Nothobranchius furzeri: one gene and its partners. The protein of the gene in region 1 binds, or shares a complex with, the protein of each later gene. Links are inferred from orthologs where the notes say so. Each region holds a gene or a part of one and is shown in the gene's direction. Other genes may lie near its edges. The genes, in order: gnat1, pde6gb and unc119a1.

What was found.
Region 2: the proteins of gnat1 (region 1) and pde6gb are in contact, whole or in part, in a cryo-EM structure (PDB 7JSN), measured with the Bos taurus proteins. The link is inferred for Nothobranchius furzeri from reciprocal best matches to the Homo sapiens genes GNAT1 and PDE6G. Residues at the interface, in NP_851365.1 of Bos taurus: Ser140, Arg201, Arg204, Lys205, Trp207, Ile208, Phe211, Asp227, Val229, Glu235, Val236, Asn237, His240, Glu241, His244, Leu245, Ser248, Ile249, Ile281, Phe283, Glu305, Leu306, Met308; in NP_776846.1 of Bos taurus: Arg36, Gln37, Phe38, Lys39, Ser40, Lys41, Pro42, Pro43, Lys45, Leu60, Val66, Ile67, Cys68, Pro69, Trp70, Glu71, Phe73, Asn74, His75, Leu76, Glu77, Leu78.
Region 3: the proteins of gnat1 (region 1) and unc119a1 are in contact, whole or in part, in a crystal structure (PDB 3RBQ), measured with the Homo sapiens proteins. The link is inferred for Nothobranchius furzeri from reciprocal best matches to the Homo sapiens genes GNAT1 and UNC119. Residues at the interface, in NP_000163.2 of Homo sapiens: Gly2, Ala3, Gly4, Ala5, Ser6, Ala7, Glu8; in NP_005139.1 of Homo sapiens: Asp87, Phe88, Val89, Arg90, Phe91, Ile105, Lys106, Lys107, Gly126, Arg127, Phe128, Val129, Tyr131, Phe137, Val147, Glu163, Leu172, Ser218, Tyr220, Asn230.

What each region holds. Positions count from the first base shown.
Region 1 is NC_091743.1:65,300,273-65,304,397, reverse strand, and holds the start of gnat1 (guanine nucleotide-binding protein G(t) subunit alpha-1), read left to right. Parts: upstream 1-1,263; 5' UTR 1,264-1,414; coding exon 1,415-1,520; intron 1,521-2,345; coding exon 2,346-2,388; intron 2,389-2,464; coding exon 2,465-2,606; intron 2,607-2,698; coding exon 2,699-2,856; intron 2,857-2,928; coding exon 2,929-3,057; intron 3,058-3,137; coding exon 3,138-3,267; intron 3,268-3,348; coding exon 3,349-3,502; intron 3,503-3,580; coding exon 3,581-3,771; 3' UTR 3,772-4,125. UniProt on the Homo sapiens protein: Functions as a signal transducer for the rod photoreceptor RHO. Required for normal RHO-mediated light perception by the retina.
Region 2 is NC_091756.1:53,507,220-53,511,354, reverse strand, and holds pde6gb (phosphodiesterase 6G, cGMP-specific, rod, gamma, paralog b), read left to right. Parts: upstream 1-1,260; 5' UTR 1,261-1,679; intron 1,680-3,199; 5' UTR 3,200-3,244; coding exon 3,245-3,414; intron 3,415-3,499; coding exon 3,500-3,540; intron 3,541-3,620; coding exon 3,621-3,697; 3' UTR 3,698-3,873; downstream 3,874-4,135.
Region 3 is NC_091753.1:37,619,598-37,623,073, forward strand, and holds the end of unc119a1 (protein unc-119 homolog A), read left to right. Parts: intron 1-168; coding exon 169-282; intron 283-440; coding exon 441-531; intron 532-1,943; coding exon 1,944-2,116; intron 2,117-2,184; coding exon 2,185-2,297; 3' UTR 2,298-2,901; downstream 2,902-3,476. UniProt on the Homo sapiens protein: Involved in synaptic functions in photoreceptor cells, the signal transduction in immune cells as a Src family kinase activator, endosome recycling, the uptake of bacteria and endocytosis, protein trafficking in sensory neurons and as lipid-binding chaperone with specificity for a diverse subset of myristoylated proteins.

The sequences.
Region 1 (4,125 bases):
CGCAGAGCCGTGCGGAACTCGCGGACGCGTCAAGCATAAACCAACCTTTAGGCCACTGCCCCCGCGACCCGACTCCAGATAAGCGGATGAAAATGGATGGATGGATTTAATTGTTTGTTTGAAAGTTTGTTTCTTTAGAAGCAGCACAGCGACCAACATCCCGGCATTTGTTGCGGTCAATCACGCAATGCTTTCTGTCCCATTTCAGTAATTATTTGCTCACATGTGCAGTACGAGCTCGAAGCCTTACTGCATACTCCCTCCAAGTGCACTTCACAGAAGACCGTAGAGCATGGTGCAAGTATTGTGATTGAGCCACACACTCCACTCTCTCTCCTCGCTGCAAAAAAATGTTTTAAAGCCTTCTTGTGGGCGGGCGTGAGCCAAGATGGGCGAAGCAATGAATGCAAATTCACAGTATGAAATAGATAAGTGAGGATAAAATCTTAGCCTTTCACCATCTATTTTCTATCAGAAGCTATCACAGGAGATAGGTGTAGGAGTCTGTTTTCACATTCATCCTGCATAAAAAGCTCAGAGTGACCAATTATACTCAGGAATAATTGGTGTGTGTGTGTGTGGGGGGGGGGGACCACACATTTAAGCGTTGCTGCTTTCATTGTGTCAAACATTGCAAGACACACACACACACACACACACACACACACACACACACACACACACACACACACACACACACACACAGTTATTACATCCATGCATCACTGAAGAGAGTAGATTAGGATTCTTTCCCTCCTTCAGATTTAGGTCAATGAGATCTGTTTAGTGAAACCACTAAGCCCTTTAAGTACCTCAGAACTCACCATTTAATCTGAAGTATCCAATAAGAAATGTCTTATTTTGTGTTTGCATGTATACTTTTCTATGTGTGGCATTTTTGTTGCAAGTTTTATTGTGTATTTTGCTGTAGTACGAGGCTGTTTTTGTGTTAAATGTGTTGGTTCTTCACCATATTGCACAAATAATCATTGTCATATTGATTTTCACTTTCAGCTGAGTCCTAACATGGAATTAATTAGTTTTGGTCAACTATTTAGCTTCTTCCCTTTTCAAGACATCTAAGAAGAGCATGAGATAAGCACTTGAGCCGATGCTCATCTTCCGCTGAGCACAGCAAAGTACCCTAAAGGCTAGAGCACAACTATGGTCCTCCGCTCCTCATCACACCTCTGCCCTATAACGTCCCTGTCCTTGTGCTCCATTGGCTACCACCGGTCAGGTGGGTCGAAGGTTCCCAAAATCCGCTCCTAAGTCGGAAAAATACTCAAACCTCAGGCAGCTGTAGGCAGTTCAGGCATCAGCTGTGCGGTTGAAGGCACCAGCCGGGACCTTCTTCCATTTTTCCTTGACACTTGGCTTTTAAACAGAAGGGACCTAAGCCGGGAAAGGTAGGATGGGGGCCGGAGCTAGCGCTGAGGAGAAACGCTCCAGGGAGCTGGAGAAGAAGCTGAAGGAAGATGCTGACAAGGATGCAAGAACTGTCAAGCTGCTGCTGCTAGGTAAAGACACCCAGCTTCAGATGCTTCAGCAGGTCCTGGTTCATTTATATGGAATCATGATGCTTGCATTTCAAATATTCTGCTGTTAGGCATTAGAAGGTTTGCAAGAAAATTACAAACATTTAAATAAACATTTGTAACAAGCATAAATACTGTTGGCTTATGTTTAATTGTTGCAATGGATACGTCTCATTATTTTTACACAACTTGTTTGAGTCAAGCGAAGGCTTAATAACCTGTCACTGAACTGCTGAGACACTTGGATTATCACTCAAGCCAATCCTCTATTAATCCTGACACAACAGGTCCAACAGCACAAAGGGCTTAGCAGAGAAGGACACAGATATCAAGAAAATCCAAACAGAACCAACATAATTAAAAAGAGAAAGTACTCGCGTGATTCAAAACTTGATATACAATTGAGCCTAGGTTAGTTTTTAATTATATTTTACAAGTTATACAGACAAACATGGGTTTGTACCTGAAACAGTATCTCAGAATTTATAACTCTTGCCGAATGCACAATTGTTGACCTGGTTATAAACAGACATGCCAGGTTATTCCATATATTTTTTGTGCACAGATCCACCATCATCTAATAATGTAGGTCAAGAAAAAGATTAGACATGAAATAAGAAGTATTATGACTTGTTAGGATCATCTGTCTGATGAAATATGTCATCTAAGATAAACCCAGGTCCTCTTCTGGAAACAATGTAACCAATAAAATTACTAAACAGATGTAAGGGTTCTGGAAAATTATGGAAAATCTCAATAAAACTGGCTTTAACAAACATCTACTGATGTTGGTGTTCTCTCGTGTAGGTGCTGGAGAATCAGGCAAAAGCACAATCGTCAAACAGATGAAGTAAGTTGGACTTTAGGCCCTGGTAGCTTTTATTTCTAAATGTAATCTGTGCCGTAACGCCGCATTTTCTCTGCAGAATTATTCACAAAGATGGTTACTCGCTTGAAGAGTGCTTGGAGTTTATTACCATCATTTACAGCAACACCCTGCAGTCCATCATGGCTATTGTAAAGGCCATGACCACACTCAACATTAACTACGGCCACCCCGATCAGCAGGTCGCCACAAACGTCCATATAAATGTTCCCAGTTTGTTGGCAAACAAACAGAACTATGGGTTAAATGTATTTTCTTTGACTCTGTCATGCAGGATGATGCCAGGAAACTCATGCATCTTGCAGACACGATCGAGGAAGGAACCATGCCCAAAGAGCTGTCGGACATTATCCTGCGTTTGTGGAAGGATTCTGGTATCCAGGCATGCTTTGACAGGGCTTCAGAGTACCAGCTCAACGACTCAGCTGGATAGTAAGAACTCTGAATTGTGGAGGTTTCAAGTTTTGTTTTTGCATTACTCAACTGAAACTCTTTTCCTCACAGCTACCTAAACGATTTGGAGCGACTGATCCAGCCAGGCTACGTGCCCACTGAGCAGGATGTGTTGCGATCAAGAGTCAAGACCACCGGTATCATCGAGACCCAGTTCTCCTTTAAAGATCTCAACTTCAGGTGTGTTTCTGCATCACTTAGGATTAGCTGAGCTACAGAGTGAAGACTTCAGATCAAATGTCTTGGTTTTTCTCATGCAGAATGTTTGATGTGGGTGGCCAGAGGTCAGAGAGGAAGAAGTGGATCCATTGTTTTGAAGGTGTCACTTGTATCATTTTCATTGCTGCTTTGAGCGCTTACGACATGGTGCTGGTGGAGGACGATGAAGTGGTATGGACAGTTACCTATTTTTAACTATTTCATGCCAAGTATCAGATGGTTATAAAGATCTTCGTCGAACTTTACTTCCAGAATCGAATGCACGAGAGTCTCCACTTGTTCAACAGTATTTGCAACCACCGCTACTTTGCCACCACCTCCATTGTACTCTTCCTCAACAAGAAAGACGTGTTTGTGGAGAAAATCAAGAAAGCTCATCTCAGCATGTGCTTCCCTGAGTATGATGGTGAGATCTTATTTTTTTAATTATGGCATTTTTTAAACAAAAATTGCAAATTACTTCATTTGACATGGTCTCACATAGGACCCAACACCTATGAGGACGCCGGTAACTACATCAAAATACAATTCCTGGACCTAAACCTGCGTCGAGATGTCAAAGAAATCTACTCCCACATGACCTGTGCCACGGACACGGAAAACGTCAAGTTTGTGTTTGATGCCGTAACCGACATCATCATCAAAGAAAACCTGAAGGACTGCGGTCTCTTCTAAAAGTTGGGCAGAGGAACTAAACAAGGGTGAGCAAAGAGAAAGTGAGCAAAGATACAGAAAAAAATAAAGCCGCTTAAAGCTGTGGTCCGTAGCGTGATGTCATCAAGGAAAGAAGCAGATTTTGAGGTTTGATTGGCTATAGCTCCCACCCCTGCCCCCCTTAACATTCTGGAAGGTAACGCTGTACTAGCCAACAGTAAAGGCAGCACAATTATCTCCATTTTTATTTATTACAGTTATCTAAAGATAAATGAACAGCTTAGTATTTACCAGTCCATTAGAAACTCGACCAACTCCATCAGTTTTGAGCTCTTGTTGACCTCAAATTTTAGTCCATCTATTAAAAGCATCTTC
Region 2 (4,135 bases), on another chromosome or scaffold:
CAGGATTTCTAGGCACAGCCGAAGTATTGAAGGGATCCGTTTTGGTGGCCTGAGAATCAGGTCTCTACTTTTTGCAGATTAAGTGGTGTTGTTGGGTTTATCAGAATGTGATCTCCAGCTTTCGCTGGAGCAGTTTGCAGCTGAGTGTGAAGCAACTGGGATGAGAATCAGATTCTCTAAATCTGAGTCCATGGTCTTGAATCATGAAAGGGTAGAATGCCTTCTCCAGGTCAGGGATGGGGTCCTGTTTCAAGCAGGAGTGGTTTTAGGACTGAAGAAGATCCGGGGCTTAACACACGCACACACACGTGACACACACTAGTCAACATCATATATATTTGTCTTGTACCACATAATTTTTAATCTGAAGCTACATATTAAGCATTTTCAGGGCAGAGTATTGTTCCTGTTAGTGTTTAGTGTGAGATGATCATGATAGTAAATATTCCTGTTCTTTCTCCAACAACTTTACCTGATAGTAAACTAACTTTAGGCAAACCAGCAGCACAACAAATATTTTCAAATAATACTCACAAACCTGAGTCAACACCAGTATCATCAAAGCTGGGGTTCTGTCGTTGTACTTTTTGTCTAAAAAACATCCTCATGTCCATCTTCACTCATTCGTTTCAGGCAGAGAGTGTAGAAGAAGTCGGCTGCTGAAGGGCAGTTCTTCTTCAGTGGTGGAGGCTCAGGCAGGCTGTATACAAACTACTGCCAGCTGCTCCCTCTCTGTTGGACTTTGGTACTGCATGTTACTTCCGCGATTTAGATCCAGGGCTTTTCATAGAACATCCGGGGCTTCAGCCCAAGTAGCCGGGCCTAACGTCGCCCCTGGTTTCAAGTGGAGGAGTTTAAGTATCTCAGGGTCTTGTTCACGAGTGGGGGACAGATGGAACAGGGACAGGCGAATTTGCGCTGTGTCTGCAGTGATACGGGCCTTGTACGTATCTGTTGTGGTGAATTTAGAGCTGAGTCAGTAGGCAAAGCTCTCGATTTACCGGTCGATCTATGTTCCTACCCTCACCTAAGGTCACGAGCTTTGGGTAGTCACTGAAAGAACGAGATCATGGATACAAGCGGCCAAAATGAGTTTTCTCCGTAGGGTGTCTGGCTCTCCCTTAGAAATAGGGTGAGAAACTTGGTCATCCGGGTGGGACCCGCTGCTCCTCCACATTGAGTGGTGCCAGTTGAGGTGGCTCGGGCATCTTGTCAGGATGCCTCCCTGGTGAGGTTTTCCAGGCACGTCCAACTAGGAAGAGACCCAAGAGAAGATCCAGGACACACTGGAGGGACTATGTCTCTCAACTGGCCAGGGAATGCCTTGGGATTCCCCAGAGGAGCTGGCCCAAGTAGCTGGAGAGAGGGAAGTCTGGGCTTGTTGGCTAGGCTGCTGTCCCCGCGACCCAACTCCGGATAGGCGGCTGAAATGGATGGATGGAACACAAAAAAAATCTAAACTGTATTTAAATAAATGTGAGTTATATTTAGACAGTTTGGCCCAAACATTGTGACATGAGAAACAAGAGGTGGAGCATCATAATCCCCCTGTGGACTGAGTATAAAATGGTCTTAAGTCCTGGCTGGCCCTTACAGTGAGCCCCAGCATAGCCGTCCACTCATCTGCTCATCCCAGCAGCTCACAACCAGCTACCAGGCTGCTCTTCGTCAGCCAACAGGTGAGTAACATCATCATCAGAAAGGTTTACAAACCTTAGATAATCCACAGGGATTACATTTATTTATTGTTACCCTGGAGAAACCTCTCAAAGCAGCTGAGGTGGAAATTGAACTAGTTTGTGCTACAATCAATTACACGATCTGGACATTTCACTGATGTTCAATAAATAAACTATTAATATTTAACCCTTTGATGCATGAATTATGAAATCTTCAACCATGATTTTTTTAACTTTTTTTTTTCATTCATCTTTAGGTGTGAACAAAACAAATTTCATCAAATATTTGTTGTTAAATTTTATAATTTACAAATAATTTATTACATATCCACCTCAGTGGACAGCGTGCATTCTGAACATGAAATATGTTGGCTTGGCTTACTGAAGCCCAAATGGAGGGGTTCAAATGCAATAAAGTCTTCAACAGCTGTGCTTAATAGCAAAAACAAATAAATAACAATTTTGAGTACCTGTCCACTGTAGTGACTATTATGCATCAAAGGGTTAAAGTCTTTGATGCAGAATTTTAAAAAATCTCCTGAACATAGATGAAGACATTTATATTTATTAGACACATTTTAAATCATTCTTTTTTTTTCATCTTTTTTCCTAAAATGTTTTGAAAAGAAAAACCTTTCCACTCTATGTTGTGCCAAAAAATATATAAAATAACACAACATTATCAATTTATCATTCAGATCTGCTGCATGGTTTACTCGGTGATTTCACTCACATCATTTTATTTCCATTTTAGTAAATCTGAGTTTACTGCAAAAATAAAAACTACCAAAATATTTACTTTTTTCTAGTCTTTCAAAGATTTGCCAGGTTTAATTTAAAAAAATATTTTTAGAAACATGGAAACAGTAGAATGTTTTTTAATCATAAACATTATTCTTTTAATTGGTTCACGCGCAAGTTAATTTTCTCACATAATCTAGATTCTGATGATTTTATGTTATTTTATGATGAATGCACATAACTTTGACTGAACTTTTTATTTGAAATGATACTGAAATATGCATTACTGAGATGCTATTTGCACAGCCTCAGTGAGGCAGATGATTTACCTTGTTTTGTTTGTCGTCAACATAAACGACAACATAAAGGGTTAAACCAGTCCACGGGTGTCTCTGGGACGGGCTGAGCTGATTGTTCTTTAGACCCTCAATGTGCAGCTCAGCATTTCTGCCATGTTGTCCTTGTTTTAATAAGATTACATGAGAGAGACCAGCTTGAAACAGAGAGGGCGAGAGAGCTTATTAACAAGAGCTAGGGATTATGGGAAATTGGGTCATCTTTGCTGAACGGGCTGCATTTTGGTCCACGTCAGACGATCAGTCACAGGGAAGCTGTGATCCTGTCATGTGCTTCTCAGCTGTGCAAGAAGATTACCGGAGATAATGTCACACAGAGGTGACAGGAGCTATATGTTAGACATGCATCACATCAGATAAGATTTGTGGTCTGCATGTGGGAAAAAGTTGCTCCTTCTTATATTTTTTGTTTCCAAACTGCAGGAGTTTCTAAACCAGACAACCTACACACGCTTCACTCCTGTTAAAATGAATCTAGAGCCGCCCAAACCTGAGACCAAGTCAGCCACCCGAGTCTCTGGTGGCCCAGCCACCCGAGTCACGGGTGGCCCTGCCACTCCGCGTAAGGGTCCACCAAAGTTCAAACAGAGGCAGACCCGCCAGTTCAAGAGCAAACCTCCAAAGAAAGGCGTGCAGGGGTAAGCCTCTAATGAACCACTGCTTCCTTCAGAGTTGTTCAAAGTAAACCGAGGTTTAAGTTAGTAATCTTTGTTTTGTTGGCAGCTTTGGTGATGACATTCCCGGCATGGAGGGCTTGGGCACAGGTGAGTTTACGTCTGTTTAAAATGTCCTTTAGGAACACTCAGGAACCTGAACAGCTTCACATTTCTGTCCCTCTCTTCAGACATCACGGTCATCTGCCCCTGGGAGGCCTTTAACCACCTGGAGCTGCACGAGCTGGCCCAGTACGGCATCATCTGAGCCGTCCCACATCTTCCAGGATTTCTCTGAGGATTCCAGGCTGTGCACTTCAAACCACCTGCCTGCGGCTGTCATGAATCTGCATGTGGATCTATTCTAAACAGGAAATCACAACAAACTGTAACAAACAAAAAAAACAAAAAAAAACAAAAACAGGAACAACTATGAAAAAATAATTTTCTGTTCTCTCTCACTGGAATCTTCAGACTGCAAACACCTGCTTTGTGTCTCACTCTGGCATCACTCTGTAGCTCTGCTCCTCTGTACACCCGAACTCTTCTTGCTCACATTTTCTCTTTTCTATCCTCTTCATGGACCTAAACAAGAAACATGCAAGCGAGGCAGCCTCACTTTGCGTTAAAGCTGCAAACCCGTGGGGAGGGTGGGCTCCCACGCCACGTGCCTCGGCGCCTCTTTCACCATCGCAGAGGCTCGTTC
Region 3 (3,476 bases), on another chromosome or scaffold:
GTCCTGGTTTTTTTTCTTTTGTGTGTAAAATTTTTGCAACTACAAAAAAGCTCAAACTTTCCGTAACAGAGTGTAGATGAAATGATTGCTAGTTTCCTGTGAAATCAGGAAAATATGCTTTTTGCTTCTGATCGCATAAGGTTGTGTGTGTGTTTTTAATTTTTTTAGATTACCTTTGCTCTCCAGAAGAAAATGTTCACATGATCGACTTCACCAGATTTAAAATCCGTGACATGGAAACGGGGACGGTCCTGTTTGAGATCACCAAGCCTCCAACAGCAGGTCAGCTCCAAACCACAGAGAGACATGCGTTGTTTGCGGAGACTAAAGCTGCAAAATATTTGTGTGGAAAATATTTGAAAGCCTGTATTTCAAAGGCATATACAATGAACTTGTTTCTTATAGATGGAAAAAGAGCTTATTATGAATTCCTCCTGCAGGATGCCTAAAGCAATGTGACCCAAACACCGGGCGTTTTGTCCGATACCAGTTCACACCAGCGTTCCTGCAGCTTCGACAGGTTGGAGCCACGTAAGTCAAAAGTGTGTGTGTGTGTGTGTGTGTGTGTGTGTGTGTGTGTGTGTGTGTGTGTGTGTGTGTGTGTGTGTGTGTGTGTGTGTGTGTGTGTGTGTGTGTGTGTGTGTGTATGTGTGTGTGTGTGTGTATGTGTGTGTGTGTTAAGCAAACAGAGGAGAGCAGAGAGCATGGTGTAAACTTAACCCAACTGTTCCTGTCACTGCTGCTGCAGTTTCTGCTGTTCATTTATAGTGATAACAGCTAAAATACATCAATAACCACTATAAACATCTAAACAGGCACTAGCCTTAATCTGCCACACACAAGTGCTTGAATGAAACTTTTATGTTAAATTTTCATGATTCACAACTAATTTGATTCAAAGCTGACTCGAACCTCACAGTCAAGTCTGCAGCGTGCAACAAACCTTGACTCTTAATTTAATGCATCACCATGATAATGTGTTGTGATGGGTTAGGGTTATTTTTTAGATGGGTGAAGAGTGGAGCTCCACCCACTTTGTGTAACACTAGCTATAAGGTGTCGTCTACGGGGGAAAAAGATGCCAAAATATTGTGAGAAGTTTGAACAATGCTTATTTGCAAGTAAATGACAGTGTGCCCCAGGGCAACTGTAGATACAGTGTGGATCATTACCACCAGGGTGTGAATGTGTGTGTGAATGGAAGAATGATACACTTTAGTGTAAAGCGCTTTGGAGTCCTCTGACTTTGAAAGGTGCTATACAAGTGCGGGTCATTTATAATTTATCACTAAAAACTGTATTTTTTTTTCAGTAATTCCACATATTGACTAGATCTCTGAACAACATTTGCTTTATCTTTACAAGCAATAACAAAAAAGATAGAAAATAGTGAAAAAAAGGAATTTCAAAAATCCACTCTGATTTTAATTTCAAGATCTCTGAACTTCAAGCCGTTCAATTATTTTTTGTTGTTGTTGTTTTTGTTGTTGTTTAAAGGGGCAACTTTTTCATATTTTTAAATCATTTTCTTGAACCAGTATGTGCTAAAATGACCCTTTGGTTAATGAAATGCTACCCAGCCCCTATCGTCCCCCTGTGGCCAGAATATTCCACTTGCAACTTCAGACTGGCGGCCTCTCTGCTGGGACTTAGAAAAGATAGAGCTGACAAACCTGGCACTGCAATCTGATTTCAGTGCATTTCCTGTATGTTGTAGATCATGAACACAGCTGATTTGTTTAATTTAGTGATGACTCACTCCTGTAGACACTAATGAAGGCTGAGGAGATGTTTCAGCTGTCAGATTAATGTGTTAAAAAGACAAACGCACAACGAGGTTTTGCTTTCAGTTCTACAAACGGACACTAGGGGGGCTAAAAACATGCCAAAAGTGCCTAGTTCCCCTTTAAAACATTTATTATCATCGCTGTGCGCTATTGCAGGGTGGAGTTCACAGTCGGAGACGCCCCCATCAACAACTTCCGCATGATAGAGAGACACTACTTCCGAGACAAGTTGCTAAAGAGTTTTGACTTTGAGTTTGGCTTCTGCATGCCCAGCAGCAAGAACACATGCGAGCACATTTATGAGTTCCCCACCCTGTCTGAGGAAATCAGTGAGTATAAAGATAAGAAATGTCTCAGCACACACAAGCACAGGATTCAGTGTGTTCTCTTTTCTCAGTGCGTGAGATGATACAACACCCCTACGAGACGCAATCCGACAGCTTCTACTTTGTGGACAACAAGCTGGTGATGCACAACAAAGCCGATTATTCCTACTCTGGAGGGCCGTAGGAACACCACTCCAGTTAGATCCAAGACATTTTCCTACGACTTCAGGACCAGAAACACATGGACTGATGGACACGTCGTGACTGGCAGTAGTTTATCCCGTCTCCTGCTGCAGGAACAGTCACTTCTGCCAGTTTTATCACCAGTTTGCACTAGTGAGCGTGTGGGCAGCCAATACATGCAGTGTCTGAACAAACTGTTGGTTTATACGTCAGCTCCATTTGGTCATCATTGTTTTATTTCATTTGAAGTCTGAATTCAGACGTGTTTTAGATTTTATAGTTTGGATAGAAATCTGATTACATTTTTACTTAGAAGTGCACATTTCTGAGCGATCTCGTCTGACATCCGAAGAATGTGAACATAGTGTCCGTGGGTGCATTGTTTGTTTTCATGTTTCCATGTTCATCAGGGGTGTTTTTGAACAAATAGCCTTTTTGAAGCGTCAGAAATAAATGTTAGCCAAAGATCAGGCGACTGTTTAAGGTTTCTGTCCAACTCAACACTGTGTAACCTACGATTCTGAGAAATGTTTTAATGATCAAAATATTAAAACATGTAAACTTTTGTGATAAATTTCACTAATGCAATAAAAATTGGGATTTTTTTTGCGGACATTTAATTTTTTTACACATAAATAAGGGATTAGAAACGACAGCCATTGGGATGTTGCTGTCCTTTATAACGTTTTTTATTAAAAAAAAAAAGGCAATTTAACATTTCCTCCTCCTAGGCAACAAAGAAAACTTCACATAGTGTCTTTGCTGCCATCTCCTGTAACAACAGTTGTACTACACTGTTTGCCCAGTCAATGTCAAATCACAGAAAATGGTTTGTTTGATCAAATTCGTAAATGAGAGACAACTTTTGAATCATTTAAAGCTGCCATCACCCTTTATAGGGCGTTTAATTAAAGGGATACTATTCAACTTTTTTATGTTTTTCAATCATTTTCTTGAACCAGTATGTGCTGAAATGCCCCCCCCCCCCCCCCTCTGGCCAGAATACACAGAATGCCGCATTTGCAACTTCAGAGCTGACATACCTGACACTGCAGTCTGTTTCCTGCATGTTTTACATCATGAACACAGCTGATTTGTTTCATTTAGCAATCATCCTGTACATACATGCAGTGTCATCATAATATCATTTGAATCATTCCTGTAGAAACTAATGAAAGTT